3 linked regions of the Arabidopsis thaliana genome follow. The protein of the gene in region 2 interacts with the protein of the main gene of each other region in a pairwise test. Each region holds a gene or a part of one and is shown on either strand. Other genes may lie near its edges. The genes, in order: CDKB1;2, CYCA3;1 and CDKD1;3.

What was found.
Region 1: the proteins of CYCA3;1 (region 2) and CDKB1;2 interact in a protein complementation assay, tested with the Arabidopsis thaliana proteins (one large-scale study listed by BioGRID).
Region 3: the proteins of CYCA3;1 (region 2) and CDKD1;3 interact in a protein complementation assay, tested with the Arabidopsis thaliana proteins (one large-scale study listed by BioGRID).

The regions. Positions count from the first base shown.
Region 1 is NC_003071.7:16,149,693-16,154,969, forward strand, and holds CDKB1;2 (cyclin-dependent kinase B1;2), read left to right. Parts: upstream 1-2,780; 5' UTR 2,781-2,858; coding exon 2,859-3,492; intron 3,493-3,574; coding exon 3,575-3,644; coding exon of another isoform or gene 3,645-3,714; exon of another isoform or gene 3,715-3,799; coding exon 3,800-3,938; exon of another isoform or gene 3,939-4,081; coding exon 4,082-4,174; 3' UTR 4,175-4,394; downstream 4,395-5,277. Other genes in the region: AT2G38630 (Transducin/WD40 repeat-like superfamily protein), read right to left, coding at 4,591-4,826, 4,925-5,195. UniProt on the Arabidopsis thaliana protein: Together with CDKB1-1, promotes both the last division in the stomatal cell lineage as well as the number of stomata.
Region 2 is NC_003076.8:17,290,866-17,296,427, reverse strand, and holds CYCA3;1 (Cyclin A3;1), read right to left. Parts: upstream 3,477-5,562; 5' UTR 3,202-3,476; coding exon 2,905-3,201; intron 2,831-2,904; coding exon 2,604-2,830; intron 2,517-2,603; coding exon 2,364-2,516; intron 2,284-2,363; coding exon 2,250-2,283; intron 2,171-2,249; coding exon 2,021-2,170; intron 1,931-2,020; coding exon 1,796-1,930; intron 1,711-1,795; coding exon 1,639-1,710; 3' UTR 1,404-1,638; downstream 1-1,403. Other genes in the region: PUM13 (pumilio 13), read right to left, coding at 1-495.
Region 3 is NC_003070.9:6,205,683-6,212,003, reverse strand, and holds CDKD1;3 (cyclin-dependent kinase D1;3), read left to right. Parts: upstream 1-2,475; 5' UTR 2,476-2,704; coding exon 2,705-2,803; intron 2,804-2,948; coding exon 2,949-3,247; intron 3,248-3,333; coding exon 3,334-3,442; intron 3,443-3,542; exon of another isoform or gene 3,543-3,858; intron 3,859-3,871; coding exon 3,872-3,997; intron 3,998-4,150; coding exon 4,151-4,386; intron 4,387-4,465; coding exon 4,466-4,723; intron 4,724-4,827; coding exon 4,828-4,876; 3' UTR 4,877-5,133; downstream 5,134-6,321. Other genes in the region: AT1G18050 (SWAP/surp RNA-binding domain protein), read left to right, coding at 416-738, 1,449-1,519, 1,762-2,042; AT1G18030 (Protein phosphatase 2C family protein), read right to left, coding at 5,326-5,436, 5,637-5,684, 5,790-5,879, 6,072-6,155, 6,241-6,321.

The sequences.
Region 1 (5,277 bases), on a different chromosome or scaffold from region 2:
TGTTGGGAAAAGGGTTTTGATGGAAATCGCAGAACCAAAAAAAAGTAGAAAGAGAAAGAGAAAGACCAACGCCAGCAGCAGACACCAAATGTGAATTCTGCAGAAGACGCCAGACTTTTTTTTTCTTTTTTTCTTCTGTCTGAAAAATCTCTTTTTTTTTTTGTTTCTTTGATTAAAAGTTATTTTTATTTTCCATAAAGGAGATTTTTAATTAAACTCAGGCAGAAAAAATCAGCTAAAAAGTTTAAAGTGACAGAGTGGATCTCTCTGTTACAAAGGTTGAAAAATTTAGTGATTATTTTTTGGTGATAATTCAACCGTCACCGTTTGATTGATTCTGTATTATAATTAAATAAATAAGGAAATAAGAAAATGGAGAGAAACTTTGGTGTGTGTGCGTGACTACGTAGACCGTATCTTTTAACGCCGCTAAAACTTTACACGTGTCAACCATGCAATCGCTCATTTGAGCTGTCTTTTTGGCCTGGACATTTTTTAATTATTAATTATTAACAATAAATGTGTTTCTGCAATTTTTTGTTAGGTGGTGATGATTTTGAGTGCTCTTATTATGCTCATGGTCTTCCAAGTCCCCCAAATGTAACGCACACAATTAAACCATTTTACGTGTACAGAATTTTATAAGACAAAGCAATTTATGAATATTTTGGAAGAGAAAAAATATTAATAAAAAGGAATTTAATGAAAAAAACTCTCAACTTTGTCCTGATCCATTTTTAAACCCTAAACTATGTTTTTAGTAAAACAAATCCTAAACTAAAACCTGTTAATAAACTTAACTTCACAGTAATTAAATATTAATGAGATATTAATTTTTTAAAAAGAAAACAATGAGACATTTGTATTTAGCGCAAAAACCACGTGATGTTCTTTAAAACTGTTTTGAATTTATTACAAAAAAACATTCTAAATAATTTTGAATTGCTTAATTAGTTTGGATTTTAAAAGCTGAAAGAAAGACACAATAACTTAAAATAATCCAAAGAGTCATGCTTAAATAAATCCAACCAACATAACTATCGAAGCTGTTGCAACACAACAATATTTGTCACAAAAAAAAAACAATCGTTTCAGATGGACAAGATATTCTAAAGTAAAGACTTGTCAAGCATTAACTTTGAAGAGAAGATTGTATTGGCTGAGTGATAGGGTTCTCTTCATCCATTGTTTTCTGTTTTTTCCTTGGTCGTCCTTGAGGTTTCTTGGGTGGTTTTGGCATTGCTTTACACTTGCATGAACGTTTGTTGTGTCCGACTTGTTGACAATTGCTGCAAGTCTAAATATGCAAAGATTAAATTTAATAATTTGAAAATGAAGATCTTGTGAAACATAATTCATTGTTCTCTATTTTACCATTTAAACTTTTTCACGTGTATAAAGAACTTTTTGAGGTGGACGATCTTCAGTTGGATCACGGATTCTGTCATTGTTCTTTGGTCGATTTTTGGAAATTAATATCCCATTAATATTTAATTACTATGGGGTTAAGTTTATTAACAGGTTTTAGTTCAGAGTTTGTTTTACTAAAAACATAGTTCAGAATTTAAAAATAGATCTGACCAAAGCTGACGGTTTTTTTCATTAAATTCCCTTAATAAAATGGTTGCAAATAAGTTTATTGACCCTAGTAAATCAGTAACGGTTTTTCATAATCAACTTTAAAGTCTTTAAGCCATTTTCTTTCGTTTAGTCAATGCCCTATCATTGAATATTATCTTTGTTTTCTTTTTCATTATTGTAATTTTCTTTTATGTATAGTAGTCCAATAATTTTTTAATATTCAGCCATTGTTTAGTTTCCACATGAAACACACAATTTGTTTATAATCTTGTTTTTCTTTCCCCTTTACATAGAACTTCTTATGATGATTTTTATGAGTTTGTGAAATTGCATACCTTGCACATTCGTAGACCTAGTCAGAATTTTTGTTGTTGTTGTAGTATCTTTATTGTAAAAAGAAATGGTTTTCTTAATGTAACTATCGATCAAAACTGATGCAATTACCATACATGAAATTGGAATGAGTGTAAGAAGAATATAAAGTTGAAATAAATCAAAAATGTGAAACTGAATCAATATCATATGAAGTTGAATCATGTATACTAGAAGCCTAGAACACAAGAAACAACCCACCATTAATGAATAATGAGTAAGAGTTCACAGTCCCAAAATAATTGAAGTTACAAATTCGAACACAAAAAATCAAACCTAAACATTTTTCCAATTGGTTGAGTAAGTGAAAAAAAACTACGTAGTAAGAAATTCTTTTTTTGAGTTTGTGCCAAACATTGAACATTAACGTATAAGGAGAAAACTAATGGGATACAAGCTAAAACAGTTATAGTCTTATTAATTAGTATGTTAAATACTAGATTAAAGTTAAAATGAAGTTGGAAAAGCTCGAAGTTTCAACCAATTAATGCGAAATGATCGACTCTTCAAGTAATATTAATAGTTTAGCAAAATAAATGACTGAAAAATCTTTATTATGGGTTGTGGCTGCAAGCATGAGCTTAGCTTTTTGTACTCAGGGCCGGCTTTACATCAAAGATCATGCATAGATTCATTCAACTAAACATTCACCATGGATAATGAATTGAAATCTATAAACATAATCAAGCAAATATCTTATACTATACTTATCTGTTTAAAATGACTTTGAGTCTTTGACTAATAAAATATTATTGGTACGTGTGAAGCGTGCGAGGGATTCAAATGTTAAACGTTATAGCAAAGAGGCGCCTTTATTTACCAGATCTAAAATCGAAAAGGGGCTTTAGGGTTTATAAGACCCAAACAAAAAACATTCATCAGTCTCAATTCAAAATCCTCCATCAATGGAGAAATACGAGAAGCTCGAAAAGGTCGGTGAAGGAACCTATGGAAAAGTCTACAAAGCAATGGAGAAAACCACCGGAAAACTCGTCGCTCTGAAGAAAACTAGGCTCGAAATGGACGAAGAAGGTATACCACCAACGGCTCTCCGTGAGATCTCTCTTCTCCAAATGCTTTCTCAATCAATCTACATCGTTCGTCTCCTCTGCGTCGAACATGTTATTCAATCGAAAGATTCGACTGTTTCTCACTCTCCCAAATCCAATCTCTATCTCGTTTTTGAGTATCTCGACACTGATCTCAAGAAATTTATAGATTCTCATAGAAAGGGCTCGAATCCTAGACCGCTTGAGGCTTCTCTTGTGCAGAGGTTTATGTTTCAGCTTTTTAAAGGTGTGGCTCATTGTCATAGCCATGGTGTGCTTCACCGTGATCTTAAACCGCAGAATCTTCTATTGGATAAGGATAAAGGGATTCTTAAGATTGCTGATTTGGGTCTTAGTCGTGCTTTTACTGTGCCTCTTAAGGCTTATACACATGAGATTGTTACTCTTTGGTATAGAGCTCCTGAAGTTTTGCTTGGTTCTACTCATTACTCTACTGCTGTTGATATTTGGTCTGTTGGATGCATCTTTGGTTAGTAATCAGCTACTATGTCTCTTTTAATGGTCTTTTGTTCTACTGTTTGGATTACTGATGTTTCCCCATTTTTTTGTAGCCGAGATGATTAGGAGGCAAGCTCTTTTCCCTGGTGATTCTGAGTTTCAGCAACTACTTCATATTTTCAGGTATTTGCTTCTTGTTTTTGATGCCAATGTGTATGTATACAGGAACCAGTTTAGGACTTTAGCCCATTAGGTTCAGTACTCGTGAACTCATTTGGATTATGGGGACTGTCTAGTATCAATATATCTGAAGTATGGTTTTGTTTTGGGTTCTGGAGATTGTTAGGAACACCAACTGAGCAGCAATGGCCGGGTGTAATGGCATTGCGTGACTGGCATGTCTATCCAAAGTGGGAGCCGCAAGACTTATCACGTGCTGTTCCATCTCTATCTCCTGAAGGAATTGATCTTCTCACGGTAATGCTCTTTTCTAAAATATGACCATTGTTGGAGAAGTGGCCTAAGATTCTCTTGCATACTTGATCTCTTTAGTAGATTCTTTCTGTTGGGGTTCGTTCCTAGTTGATGATAATTTGTTTTGAACCTTTGAACAATTGCAGCAAATGTTGAAGTACAATCCAGCAGAAAGAATTTCAGCAAAAGCAGCTCTCGATCATCCCTACTTTGACAGCCTTGACAAATCTCAGTTCTGACCTCTGCCAAATTACTGATCAGGCTTCTCTTTGGAGTTCTGAAGCTGATGGCTCAAGTTTATTGTCTTGGTGTCTTATGCTGTGTGCTTTAGAAAGATTTGTACTTAAACTAAACAATCTGAAAACCTTGTTTGTTCAGCGAGAGTGAGAGAATCTTCTTTAAGTGGCCAATTTTATTTGTTCATGTAAACAAGTCTATCAAAGCAAAAATGGTTAACCCTATTAAGCAGACAAATCATTAGTGTACATAAATGAGAGACGAATTTGAAATATTTGCTGTTTCATTACAACGACAATTGCTACTCAAACACACAAGTAAATTACATATCTCATGATATTACACAATTGAGAAACAGAACAAGATACAGAGATCTCTTGTATTAATGTAAAAAAAACAAAACAAATGATGAGTAGCTTCAATTAGACCAGACATGGAGGAGGCCGTGTCTGTTTCCTGTGTATATTTCATTCCGTTCTTCGTCGTAGAAGAGAGCGGTTATGTCTTCCAAAGCCTCAGCAACCGCACTTCTCCTTCGAGAGGAATTCCCCAAATCACTACTGCTGCAGTCCTCTTCCTTAGGAGGACCATTATTTGCTTTTATCTTAGCTAAGCATTTACCAGTCAAGATATTGCTTATGTTAATCGACCCCGCTACATCAACAACCAAAATCACGACAATGTCTCAATAGCAAAACAAAATCAGACCATGAGGTTTCTTGATTTGAAGAGTGGATGATGAGTCTACTTACCATTTCCTTCTATCCACTGATCTTCAGTATCTGCCTTGCAATATGAGATGATCAGATCTTGATCGCTTGTTATGTAGATATTGTTTGTGTTACAGTCTGGATGCCAAAGAAGATGATCCTCAAACGAGGTCACAAGCTCTCCGCGGAAATTCCACACAGAAACATTTCGGTTCCTGAATGTTAGAAACAACTGATTCTCATACAAAAATATGAATGCTGATGGTGTCATGAAGTCAGTTCTGCTAACTTCTATCAGCTCAGCATTTCGAACCTTTAAGAACATAAAACTCTATTAGAAACATAAAAACACAAATATATAAAGCGGCTTGAACCACAAAGACAAAACCACTCAC
Region 2 (5,562 bases):
AACTCCATTCAAGAAACTATTGTTAAGCATCCCATTACCACCACCAATAGTATCATACCTATAAGATTGATTAACATAATCGTTCTGATATGACAATCTCTGTTGATTCTGGTTAAACCTTTGCAAGTCTTTTAATTCATAGTGGTGATAAGAACCACTTGGAGGAAATAAGTACCCATCACCATAACTACCACCTCCACCGTTAAACACCTGATTGTATTGATGGGCGGGGAGTATCGGATTACCGTTCTGATGAACATTTGAATCTGCAAAAGAAAGTCCACGAAAAGAGGATTCTAGGGTTTGCAAATCAAAAGCACCACTCGAGAAACCATCATTTATATGGATGTGGTTCTCCGGTTGATGAAACTTAGACGACTGCATCTGCGGCGGTTGTGACTGAGACGATGACGCCGCTGTTGTCATATTCTCCTCCGCCGCCGTGGACCAGATGTTGCGTTCGCCGTTAGTGTTCACATAAAACTTGTTATCCATGGTTAAAGAAAGAAGAAGAAGCTGAAAAATCTAATCACTAAATCTCTTTATGTAAAAAAGATATAAACCTTTTTTTTTTTGTTCAAGAAAATTTAATACGAAAAGAAAAGAAAACAAAAACAAAGGAAGGAAAGGTGATTTATTTATAGAGGAAATCATGATTAAGGTAAATAAGTGAGATTTAATTGCACCAAAAAAAAGAAAAGAAACAAAAAAAGAGATTGCACATTAAATAGTCAAAATCTTTCCCATGCACAATAAATAGTCAAAAATATTTCAATAGTCAAAGTTTTGATGTATTTGAGTCGCGTGGAAACTTCGCATTTATCACCTATTAAATTAATATCTATTCTTTTATTATATTTATCGATAGAAATCTTTGGCTTAAATTTTTAGTTTTAGTAATCAAGTATTTTTATTATATTTTTACTTAAATGTTTTTTACTTATAAAGATGTCATATTTGAAAGAAAAATAATAAACACTAAACCGGCCGATTTAGCCGATTAACACCGATTTTTAACGCCTAAACCAGTAAGCTGATATGATTCACGGATTTCATGAGTGCATAGGCAGATGCCGGTTACTATCTATGCCTAATAGTGAACAGGTGCAAAATATTGGTTTGACAAGAAGCGACTTCTCAAACCAATCTTCTTTTTCTATATACAACCTAGTGGAACCTAATAGTGAACAGCTGCAAAATATTGGTTTGAGAAGTTTTTCTTTGACTGATGGCGAGTTCTAGTGTGGATGTCTGGATGACGATAATGTAAAACAAAGATGGAGCGTTGTTTTTATCAAAACGAAGAAAACTGAAGATAAGTGGAAAGCTTTGGATGTCAAAGAATGGAATATGTAGTGCACAAGATCTCAATCTTTTACGTATAGTTGCATCGGTTGGCTTAGGCATCAACCCATTAGATAGATTTATGGAAATGCATGGTTCAACATTGGTGTTGAACGCTTGAATTATAACCCAAACAAAAAAAATCATTAAGTAACCAAAATCTTTAAACATATATTAAGATCCTTTATCACACTAGTAGTCCTAAGACATGTACAAGCCAAAACACCAAGGAAAGAAACCAACGAAACCGCTACCTGGTTTTATACTATCTATGCCGATTACCAAAAGTTGTCTCTAAATGTTGACATCTTCAAAAACCGTAAGAGGCAGCTCTGGTGATACAGGCATTGTCGCTACACACTTGAACTGTATTGAACCAAATAGAAAAAGAAACATGTGAATCTCAAGAACATTGTTCTTCAAATTATCATTTAATAGTATTTAGGGTTACCTTATGCTGCTTGTATTTCTCTCTTATAGCTTCTAAAGCTCCACATTTTCTACTCAGATACAAGTCATGTATCATAGCCACACATTCTTTCAAATCACCCGCTTTGTATCTTGTGTATTCTTCCAACATCACATTCTGTTACATTCAACACCAGAGCTTTAGCTTCTTATATAAAGTAGTGAACACAGAGAATTAGAACAAGAACCGCTTTGCAAAATGCTTTACCCAGGGATGTTGTTTTGGACGGATGATGAACCTAGCGAGAAACACCGCTGAAGCAGCCACAGTAGACGGAAGAAACTTCACAGATTGATAGTCTAACATGCTCAACTCCGAAAGATAGCTACAAAGAAACTCCATCTGTAAATGTGACATCTGAAACAAATAAGAGAAATTCTTAGCAAATTTGATACTCTCTATAAATTGCAAATACCACAATTCAAAAAGAGCTTACTTCGAAATCTTCTTGTGCAACCCTTGTAAACCGTCTGCACAAAGCAAAACGCAATGAGACAATAAACTACACAAAAACATTACTCAATGAGCACCAAAAGAATCAGAATCAAACCTTAGAAACGTGTTGCTTGTAGGGTTTCCTAATTCAAATTGCAACGCAAGAAGTATATCAGCTTCCATCTTAACAATCTCTTGTTTCGTGTAAGTATTGTCTGTGATATAACAAAAGTCATCCACATTTGGAGGAGTAATCTCTTCATACTTTCTACAAATTTTTCAAAACCAAAATCCAAATAAACAAACCCACACAAAAAAAGAGAGATTCAAACAAACAAAACAAGAAAAAGCTTACGAAGCAATAAGCATTGAAGTAACTCCCAAAAGCTGAAGCCTTTGTTTATTAACAGTCTTGAGAGACAAGAATCTATCAATGTAAGAAACAGCGAGGTAAAGAGTGTCTGAGAGAAGTTTGTATTCTTCAGCAACTTCTACTAACCAATCAACCAAAACTCCTCTCATATTCGAAGTTACATCTTTCTGAATCTTCTCTATATAATCAACCAAAGGTCTTGACTTTACCTGAATTGTGTTAATCGAGAAACTAACTCAGATTGTGAAATCTAGAAATCTAGAGATGGGTTTTGTTTCTTTACCTCTAATTGACGAAGATACTCGAAGATTGATGTAACATAAGGACCACACATTTGTGGATCATCAGATCTTGTGTCAATGTCTGAATTTAAGGTTTCGATTGTCGGAATCGAAACTGATTTCTTCTTCTGTTTTGTAGTGGCTTTTCGAGATTTCTTGATGTTGGACAAGTTTGGAAGCTCTCCGAGTACGACTCTCTTCTTGTTGATTCGTTCTTTGTCTATTGCCGCTTCCATGGAAGCTTTTCTTTTTGTTGCTGCTCTTGTCATTCTCACGCAGTTCTCTTTTTCGTCGGCCATGGTTGATTGGATTCAAGAGAGAGGGATTGAGATCGAGATTAGGTGGATGAGAATGGAAGTGAGAAGGGTGAGAAAAAGAGAAGAAGCGAAGAGACATTTTTGTGATTTTTTGGAATAAAGTTTGGATTTTGGCGGTTTTTCCGAATTCTTTACAGGTTTTGATTTTTTGAAAAATGAAGCTGAATTGTGTTGGCGCGATGTTTTGATTAGAGTTTTGAGCTTCGAAATTTTCACCGGGAAATGTTAAATTTGGTATCACAGGAAGACCTAATTCGTAAACGAGGAAGATGATGATGCAAATTGTCAATGGGCTTGTTTATTGGCCCAATATGTCTTGCCCAATAGTAATGTTTTTAGGAAATATTCCCAAAAAAACCCGAACTATTTAAAATCTGCCAGAAAACTACCTGAACTTTTTTCGTTGTCAAAAAAATATACAAACTAATTTGGATTGAAAATAAAAAACACGATCTATTATTTTTTTCCGATTACCTCCCTTCGCCGTAACGACCGTTAACGGCGTTAACCAAATCGGTTAACATTTTCAATTTTATTTATAGAAAATTTCTGAAAAAACCACGACTTATTTAATATTTGCCAAAATAATACCCGAACTTTTTTTCGCTGCCAGAAATATATACAAACTAGTTTAAAGTTGAAATAAAGAGCATGATGTAGTTTTGTGTTCCAATTTCACTCACTTTATCGTAATGGTTACAAAAGGTTAACTAAATAAAAATATATTTTTTCATTTTCTTTACACGTGGTAAATAAGAGTGGCGATAAAGCCGATTTTATCCCCTTATAAACCCATAATCTATGTTGAACCTCTTTGAATCCTAGTGTTAATATAACACATCTATCCATTTCAGATATTAACCATAATAAACTGAAGAAATTAATAAGAAGAACTTTCGTTAACAAAGGGAGTATTTTTTTTTTTAATTTATTGTTGCTTACATCGAATCTAGATATACGATAGATATTTTAAAAAAATTTAGTAATTTAGGATAAAATATACCCATCAATAACATGATTTTGGTTGATATTACTCAAGATCTTAAGGTTTTAGAGGATTGCTTTAATAGTCAAGCTTTTTTAAGAATTTTTGTAAATAAAATTAACAATATTTGACAATTTGGTTAGGGAAATCGAAAAAATAAATATAGATCGTGTATTATATTTCCAATTTAAGTTAGTTTGTGTATTTTTATGACAACAAAAAAGTTCATGTATTTTTTTGGCAAATATTAAATAAGTTAGGTTTTTTTCCAGAAATTTTCTGTAAATAAAACTAACAGTGTTTGACGATTTGGTTAACGTCGTTAACGGTCCGTTACGGTGAAGAGAGGTAATTGGAAAAAAAAAATAGATCGTGTATTTTATTTTCACTCAAAATTAGTTTGTGTATTTTTCTGACAACGAAAAAAGTTCAGGTAGTTTTCTGGCAGATTTTAAATAGTTCGGTTTTTTTTTGGGAATTTTCCCAATGTTTTTAACACAACAATTTGTTTTGTCTTGCCCAATGAGATTGAACAAGACCCAAAAAAGAAAATTTTCAATTCTAAGCAACTGTTAAAAATATTTATGGCCTCATTGCCTGGTGGATAAAGCCGTTCATAGTGGTCTGATTATTGCGGAGAGAGTTTGTCCATCGCAGGGATATCATACATGTACAACCATTCATAGAAAATCTGAGTGTTGCAGGGAGAACTGTACCGTGGAATTGTTGCAGATTGTATGTAGTTGAATACCACCATCATATGACGTAATAAGAAAACAAAAACAAAAACATCTATAGCACTAAAAATAAAAAATGTTACAACAGAAACAAAGATTTTTATGGAATAAATTTAAGAATTCTTAAATTTGTATTCTGAAAAGAATCTATTTAATAGAAAATTGGTTGAGAAAATTTAGCTAAATTTGTTTTTTTTCCCTATCCTTATAAAACTAAATCTTTTCAAAAGTTTGGTAAACTAGATTTCATTTTTATAGAGATAATGTATTTTTATTGACCAATTCATATTAAATTCTACTAGTTTATTAATGTCATAAAGTTCGAAGCTATTAGAGAATAACGTAAATCTTCTAGCATATACTATCATAAATTCAGCGATCTTGAGTACACATAACACCGTGATTCTTCCATGTTCATCCCATGTTCTGGTTTATGTTATCATAAATTCAGTGATCTTGAGTACATAACACCGTGATTCTTCCATGTTTTGGCTTATATTATCATAAATTTAGTGATTTTGAAGACACATAACACCGTGATTCTTCCATGTTCTTCCATGTTGATCTTGAATACACATAACACGCAATATAACATTTATACATATAACGTAAATGTTTTAC
Region 3 (6,321 bases), on a different chromosome or scaffold from region 2:
CCTATTTGTAATGTTCGGAAAAAAGGTCTATTTCCCCATGGGAACTATCGCATCTGGCTAGATGAAGCCCGATCTTTGACCTCTTGCTATTTACCCATGAAATGAAAGTTAAACGTCTATTTCCCCACCAATTAAAAGTTCAAGAGCTTAATGTCCCCGAAATAAAACTTCGAGAACTTAATGTCCATGAACTGGATTAAGTCGGTTTACTGTATGCGAAACCGATGACTTAACCAACTAAACCTATTTAGAACCAGAATAAACCTAATTTAAACCAAAATTATGACCCGTAACCCGACTCTCGAACCTAAACAAAAAAATCCCCAAATTCTCTCCCGACGAACCCTAATTTAACCTGACGAATCCTCAAATCCAGTTTTTCCAAACCCTAAAACTTTGATCGATCGATGTCGGGATGTCGTTAATCCATCACGACCCCGATCTTGATGGTGATGTCGATCCCGAAGCTGAAGACAGAGATAACTTTCACCTGGAAGAAATGCTAAACGAGTGGACCGACGAACCACCAATTCGCCACGACGTGTACCCGGAGAGCGATGGTGAAGGAGCCGACGACAGTTCCGACATACATGTGAGGCGTGGTGATGGGTTTTTGTACCAAAAGCAGAGTTTCTTCAGTGGAGTTGCGTTCAAAGAGGCGGTTATAGATTATGCTCTGAGAACTGGACATAATCCAACATCTCTTTGGCACTCCAACCACTCTTCCTCGACCACGAGGTCCTGTAGATCCCGACGAACTTGATGACAGATTGCTCATCTTTCAACTGGAAATAAAAAAATTGGGAATCGATTTAGGGTTCTTGAGTTTTGAGTTTGGGGTTTTAGATTTTGGATTTGGGATTCGACAATGGATCGGGTTTTAAAAACGAATCCGGGTTTTTTTGGTTTGGTTTTGACCGATAATATGGTTTCGTCTCGGGTTTACGTATCAAACCGAAGTAACCACGATTCGGGGACATTAAGCTCTTGAACTTTTAATTGGTGGGGAAATAGACGTTTAACTTTCATTTCATGGGTAAATAGCAAGAGGTCAAAGATCGGGCTTCATCTAGCCAGATGCGATAGTTCCCATGGGGAAATAGACCGTTTTTCCGTAATGTTCTGATGTTAAACAGAATGGTTTTATAACATAACAGTTCATGTATGTATGATTTGGTTCTTACCGGTTAAGTAGATAATGTATGGTGAAAATGGAAAACGACGTCTCTCACAACAAAAAACAACTAAAACCCAAAATCTCGACCCAAAACCGAATTTAACTTCAAATTAAGTAAATATGGCCCGAAGTTATAAGCCCGAATAACAGAGGCCCATTATAAAACCTGGAGCACAAGTTTCTCGTCTATAAGTGCTAGGCTACGCATAGGGCTCCGTGGATTTGTTCTAAGAGGATATTCTCCGTTGATTTGCAATTGTCAATTTCCAAGCTTCAGAACTAGAGTTCGTTCGTTCACGACGTCACTGTGGCTCTCGCGGCGTGGCTGTTACTTTCCGGTGGGTGAGGTACGGTACTTGTTATCTCTCTCCGAAACCCTAAGTAGTCCTTGGATATGTATCTTTGCCTTTTCTTATATTTACGTTTAGGAAGATAATTCGTTTTCTTGGTAGTTTACCCCTTGTATAAATATAGTCATATAGAGCTCAGGGTCAAGTGATAATCAACACATTCAATCGATCTCTTTGCATCTCTTGTCATCAAGGGTTAACTTTATCTATTATTTTGTGTTTCTCTTTGTATAGAAAAGAGATGTCGAGTGATTTGCAATCGAACTCCGGCAGATGTACCTCCGAGGACTAGATATTATGCGGATAGCTCAGCCCGTTTGGTTTTCATGGAGGGGCCTGAGATGGAGAGAAAGATGATGACAAGCTATGCGGGAAACCCAAAGTACTCCTTCTTCTGGAGCTCAGATCGTTATCATGCTTATTACCAGAAAAAGCTTGCTGGATACCGTGCGCAGAATTACATGAGGGACCTGAGATCAAACTTAGTGATTATGGGATACCTGATGTTCCATTGAGGGTGAGGGTAAGGGAACCACCGCTTCAGATTCCAAAACCTCCTCCGGGCTTTGCTAGTGACCAGAAGCCGACAATGAAGTATCCGCCTCCACCACCTCGCAAGTATGCAGCTATACTCCCTGAATGGATTACTGGCAAAGAGCTTGAAACTATCAAGGAAGGGGATATGGACGAGAAACAGCAACGATAGCTCTTAAGAAATCAGCTAAACTCTAGCAAAAACACGTGGATTGCTAATATGCTTTATAGGTTATAGGTTAAATTTGTTGAGGTATAAAACAGTCATTTCAAAAAATCAAAAATTCACGATTAATTTAGCTATTGTTTAAAAGTTTAGATATTAAATAATATTTTTCTCTTTTATAAATCGAAAATGTTTGGATATTAAATGTATAAAAAACTAGAAAAGTAAATAATTGGGCGTTTCTCTTTATTTGTTGTTTCCCTCGATTAGCCGATTGCGTCTGCAAACGCGCCAACGGCTACTTTTTCTCCGGAGCCGGAGCTCTCAAAGCTGAAACCCTAAATTTTCCCGGTATCTTCCTCATCGTCGATTTTACTCAATTTAGAATAAAAATCGGAAAGCAATCGAATTCTAGCGACGTGAATTAAGAAGAAAGAGAGAGGCGCGATTATTGAGTGGGTTCTGAAAAACCCGAAAATGCCGGAGCAGCCAAAGAAAGTTGCTGATAGGTATCTCAAGCAAGAGGTTCTTGGGCAAGGTACCTATGGAGTCGTCTTCAAAGCCACTGATACTAAGGTCATATCTTTGCTGATTTTTGTTTGCAAAATTAGGGTTTAGGATCTGTCGGCAATTCCTAATTTCTCCTTCTTTTTTGGTTCCGGATTTTGATTGAAGTTTTTGTTGGATCAAGGGGAAGTAATTGTGGGGTGTAATTTTGCAGACGGAACAAACTGTAGCAATTAAGAAGATAAGGCTTGGTAAACAAAGAGAAGGTGTAAATATTACAGCTCTCAGAGAAATCAAAATGCTCAAAGAGCTAAAGCATCCTCATATTATTCTGCTCATTGATGCATTTCCTCACAAGGAAAACTTGCATCTTGTCTTTGAGTTCATGGAGACTGACCTCGAAGCAGTTATTCGCGATTCTAACATTTTCCTCTCACCCGCCGACATTAAATCCTACCTCCTAATGACATTTAAAGGACTTGCTTATTGCCACGATAAATGGGTTTTGCACAGGTACATTTGTTTATCCTTAACAACTTGCTTATTGTCTCTGTAATGTTGCTTGGTTTGGGCACTGATTATGTGTGGCTTGAGTTCAGGGATATGAAGCCAAATAACTTGTTAATAGGAGTTGATGGACAGCTTAAGCTTGCAGATTTTGGCTTAGCACGTATATTTGGTAGTCCAAATCGTAAGTTTACCCACCAGGTATGCCTTTTGCCGCATTGCCATTTTATCTATTGCTGTAATATAACCAAATTGATCGACTAACTCATATGAAATATTGATAAGAAAGTTTTAAGTAGTTCTTATCAGTAGTTATGTCTAGGGATGAGGAAGATTAGATGTCTCATGTCTTTTCATTTCTCTAGTTGTATACTAAATGTAACATGTATTAAACAGTCTCAACTCATATTAAATGATGGTGCAGTAGCTATCTCATATCTGTACTAAAAGTTTTGCTGTTAACCGGATTTTTGACCTGAGCTATTTCTGCCTTCTTTGTTTCCCTTTGAACACCCAAAATTACAATAGAATCCATGTGAGCTCTGTTTCCAAATGCGCAATGCAACTTATTTTCTCTTGTTTCTAGTTGTTATATTATCTTCATATCTTGATATATCTGATAATGCACAGGTGTTTGCTAGATGGTACAGAGCACCAGAACTTTTGTTTGGTGCAAAACAATATGGTGCTGCAGTTGATGTTTGGGCCGTTGCCTGCATATTCGCCGAACTTCTACTACGCAGACCATTTCTTCAGGTTAAATAATCTTACTCAAATCTAATGGCTACCATTAAAACTTTAGTCCAATTGTCATCTCTTTGGATGTTATACTCACTCTCAGACTACATAATTACATATTCATTATCAATTTTCTCGGTATGTTTACTTATTCTATTTTTGCCGTTGCAGGGAAACAGTGATATTGATCAATTAAGCAAAATATTTGCTGCTTTTGGGACACCAAAAGCAGATCAGTGGCCGGATTTAACAAAGCTTCCAGATTATGTAGAGTATCAATTTGTCCCTGCACCGTCTCTACGTTCTTTATTCCCAGCAGTTAGTGATGATGCTCTCGACTTGTTGTCCAAAATGTTTACCTATGACCCAAAGGCTAGAATTTCCATTAAGCAGGCTCTAGAACACAGGTGCCTAATGTTCACCATCTGTTTATAGGCAAAGTATATCTAGCGTTCTGCTCTCACACCTTTGTTTTCATTATTTCAGGTACTTCACTTCTGCACCTGCTCCTACTGACCCGGCTAAGCTCCCAAAGCCCGTTCCTAAGCAGGATGGTAAATCATCTTACGGTAAACATGAGGCCATTACAGTGCAATCACCACCACGTAAGCTTAGAAGAGTGATGCCTGAGCGTGGGAGGGTTGATAGTTTGAAGTCTCATGTTGACAAGGATCAACAAGCACCCATGTCATTAGATTTTACCATCCTCGCTGAGCGACCTCCAAACAGGCCAACAATCACCAGGTAAAAAACAAGACAGTTTCTCCCTCACTGCATATTAATCTCATTTGTCATTACAGCCTCAAGATTGATTGTGTTTTAATGACTTCTTCTTGTTCAATTTGTAGTGCTGATAGATCTCATCTGAAGAGGAAACTCGATCTTGAGTTCCAGTAAGACTGTTGGTTATGCACTCTTCTCTTAGCTTCTCCATTTTCATGTTCTGGTGAAACCACACCATTGTTAAGTTGTCAATTTACTGCTGCTTGTGTAATCTGGCGATTTATTCTTTTCCATATTTAGCTTGATTACAAACCAGAGGGACCTTAGATTCACAATGATAATATTTTGTTGTCCCATAGGCTTTTTATTCATTGTAAACTGATCATACTGTACTATGAAGTCTATGATTATAAAGCTTTCTACTTTTTGCTTCTAGAATTCTTTGCGGTACAAAGAGAGCTCTGTTTAATCTTCAAACTCATTTTTCTTTCGATGGTGGCCCCAGGAATTTAATTGATCCATTGACAGCTCAAAAAGATTTTACCAAATACCAACAACAGGTTTATAAAACACATACGAGCCAGAAAAACAGATGCCCACATGTCAGTCAGGCTCTTCTTTAGTCATACCCGCTTGAAGACTATCACGATTGCTGTGCAGTTGTCTTTGCAACGACGTTCTTTCACAGCTTCCTTCACAAGACGGCGACTTACCGTGCTTACATGCAAGCCCTCCTACAAAATCATAGTTCTTAGCCTCTTAGTTTCTCACATTTAATTTCCCTTGACACTCTTTACTTGTGTGCACAAGGTTCTAACAAGCCATTTTGCTCACATGGCTACCGAAAAACATCTGTTTTTTGAGCTTCTTTCTATGTAGTTAAAGAGAGTGTGAAATGGAGGACAAAGTGATTTTGACAACTGTAGGTATTTACCTTCAAAAGTTTCTGGACAAATCCAACAGCATCACTTGGTCCAAACACCTGAAAACGGTTGCATTGTGTATGAGCAGCAAACTTTGATATATAAAGACAAAATGAAATGTTCTTATAGAGCACTGCAAAACCACAAACGAAGAGCTTACTTACTTCCCACAATCCATCGCAACCAAGAATCATGAAGTTTTCTCTCTCAGTTAATTCAAAAGCATGAATGTCTGGAGTTGCACTGACACCAAACTAGATTCAATAACTTGCGTTAGATGCGAATAAACCATAAGATTTTAGGATAAGTTACAGATTCTAGGCATTTGAAGTTGCAAAATGATATGGAGCAAGGTTCAAGAACATGTCGATAGAATATTGCACGCGAGAGCTAAAATGTCACAGATAATGGGCTCAATATAAAGTGGGAAGCCACCGGATCATTACCTTCTTAAAATGACGATCACCAAAAGCCCTAGAAACCTCAAGACGCCCTTGTAACCGTCCATTTGAGCTTATAACACCACCTGACTGTGAAACTCATAGCAAGTTATCAACAGAGCATGGTGTGCTCACATTTACTTGGAAGTCTCTGTCTGGCTCATCAAAAACTAACCTTTTGAATGCGAGAGCGCTCCTGTGGATAAATTGCTTTGTGCTCTCTCGTCAAAACAATTGCTTTGAGTGGATTACCTGC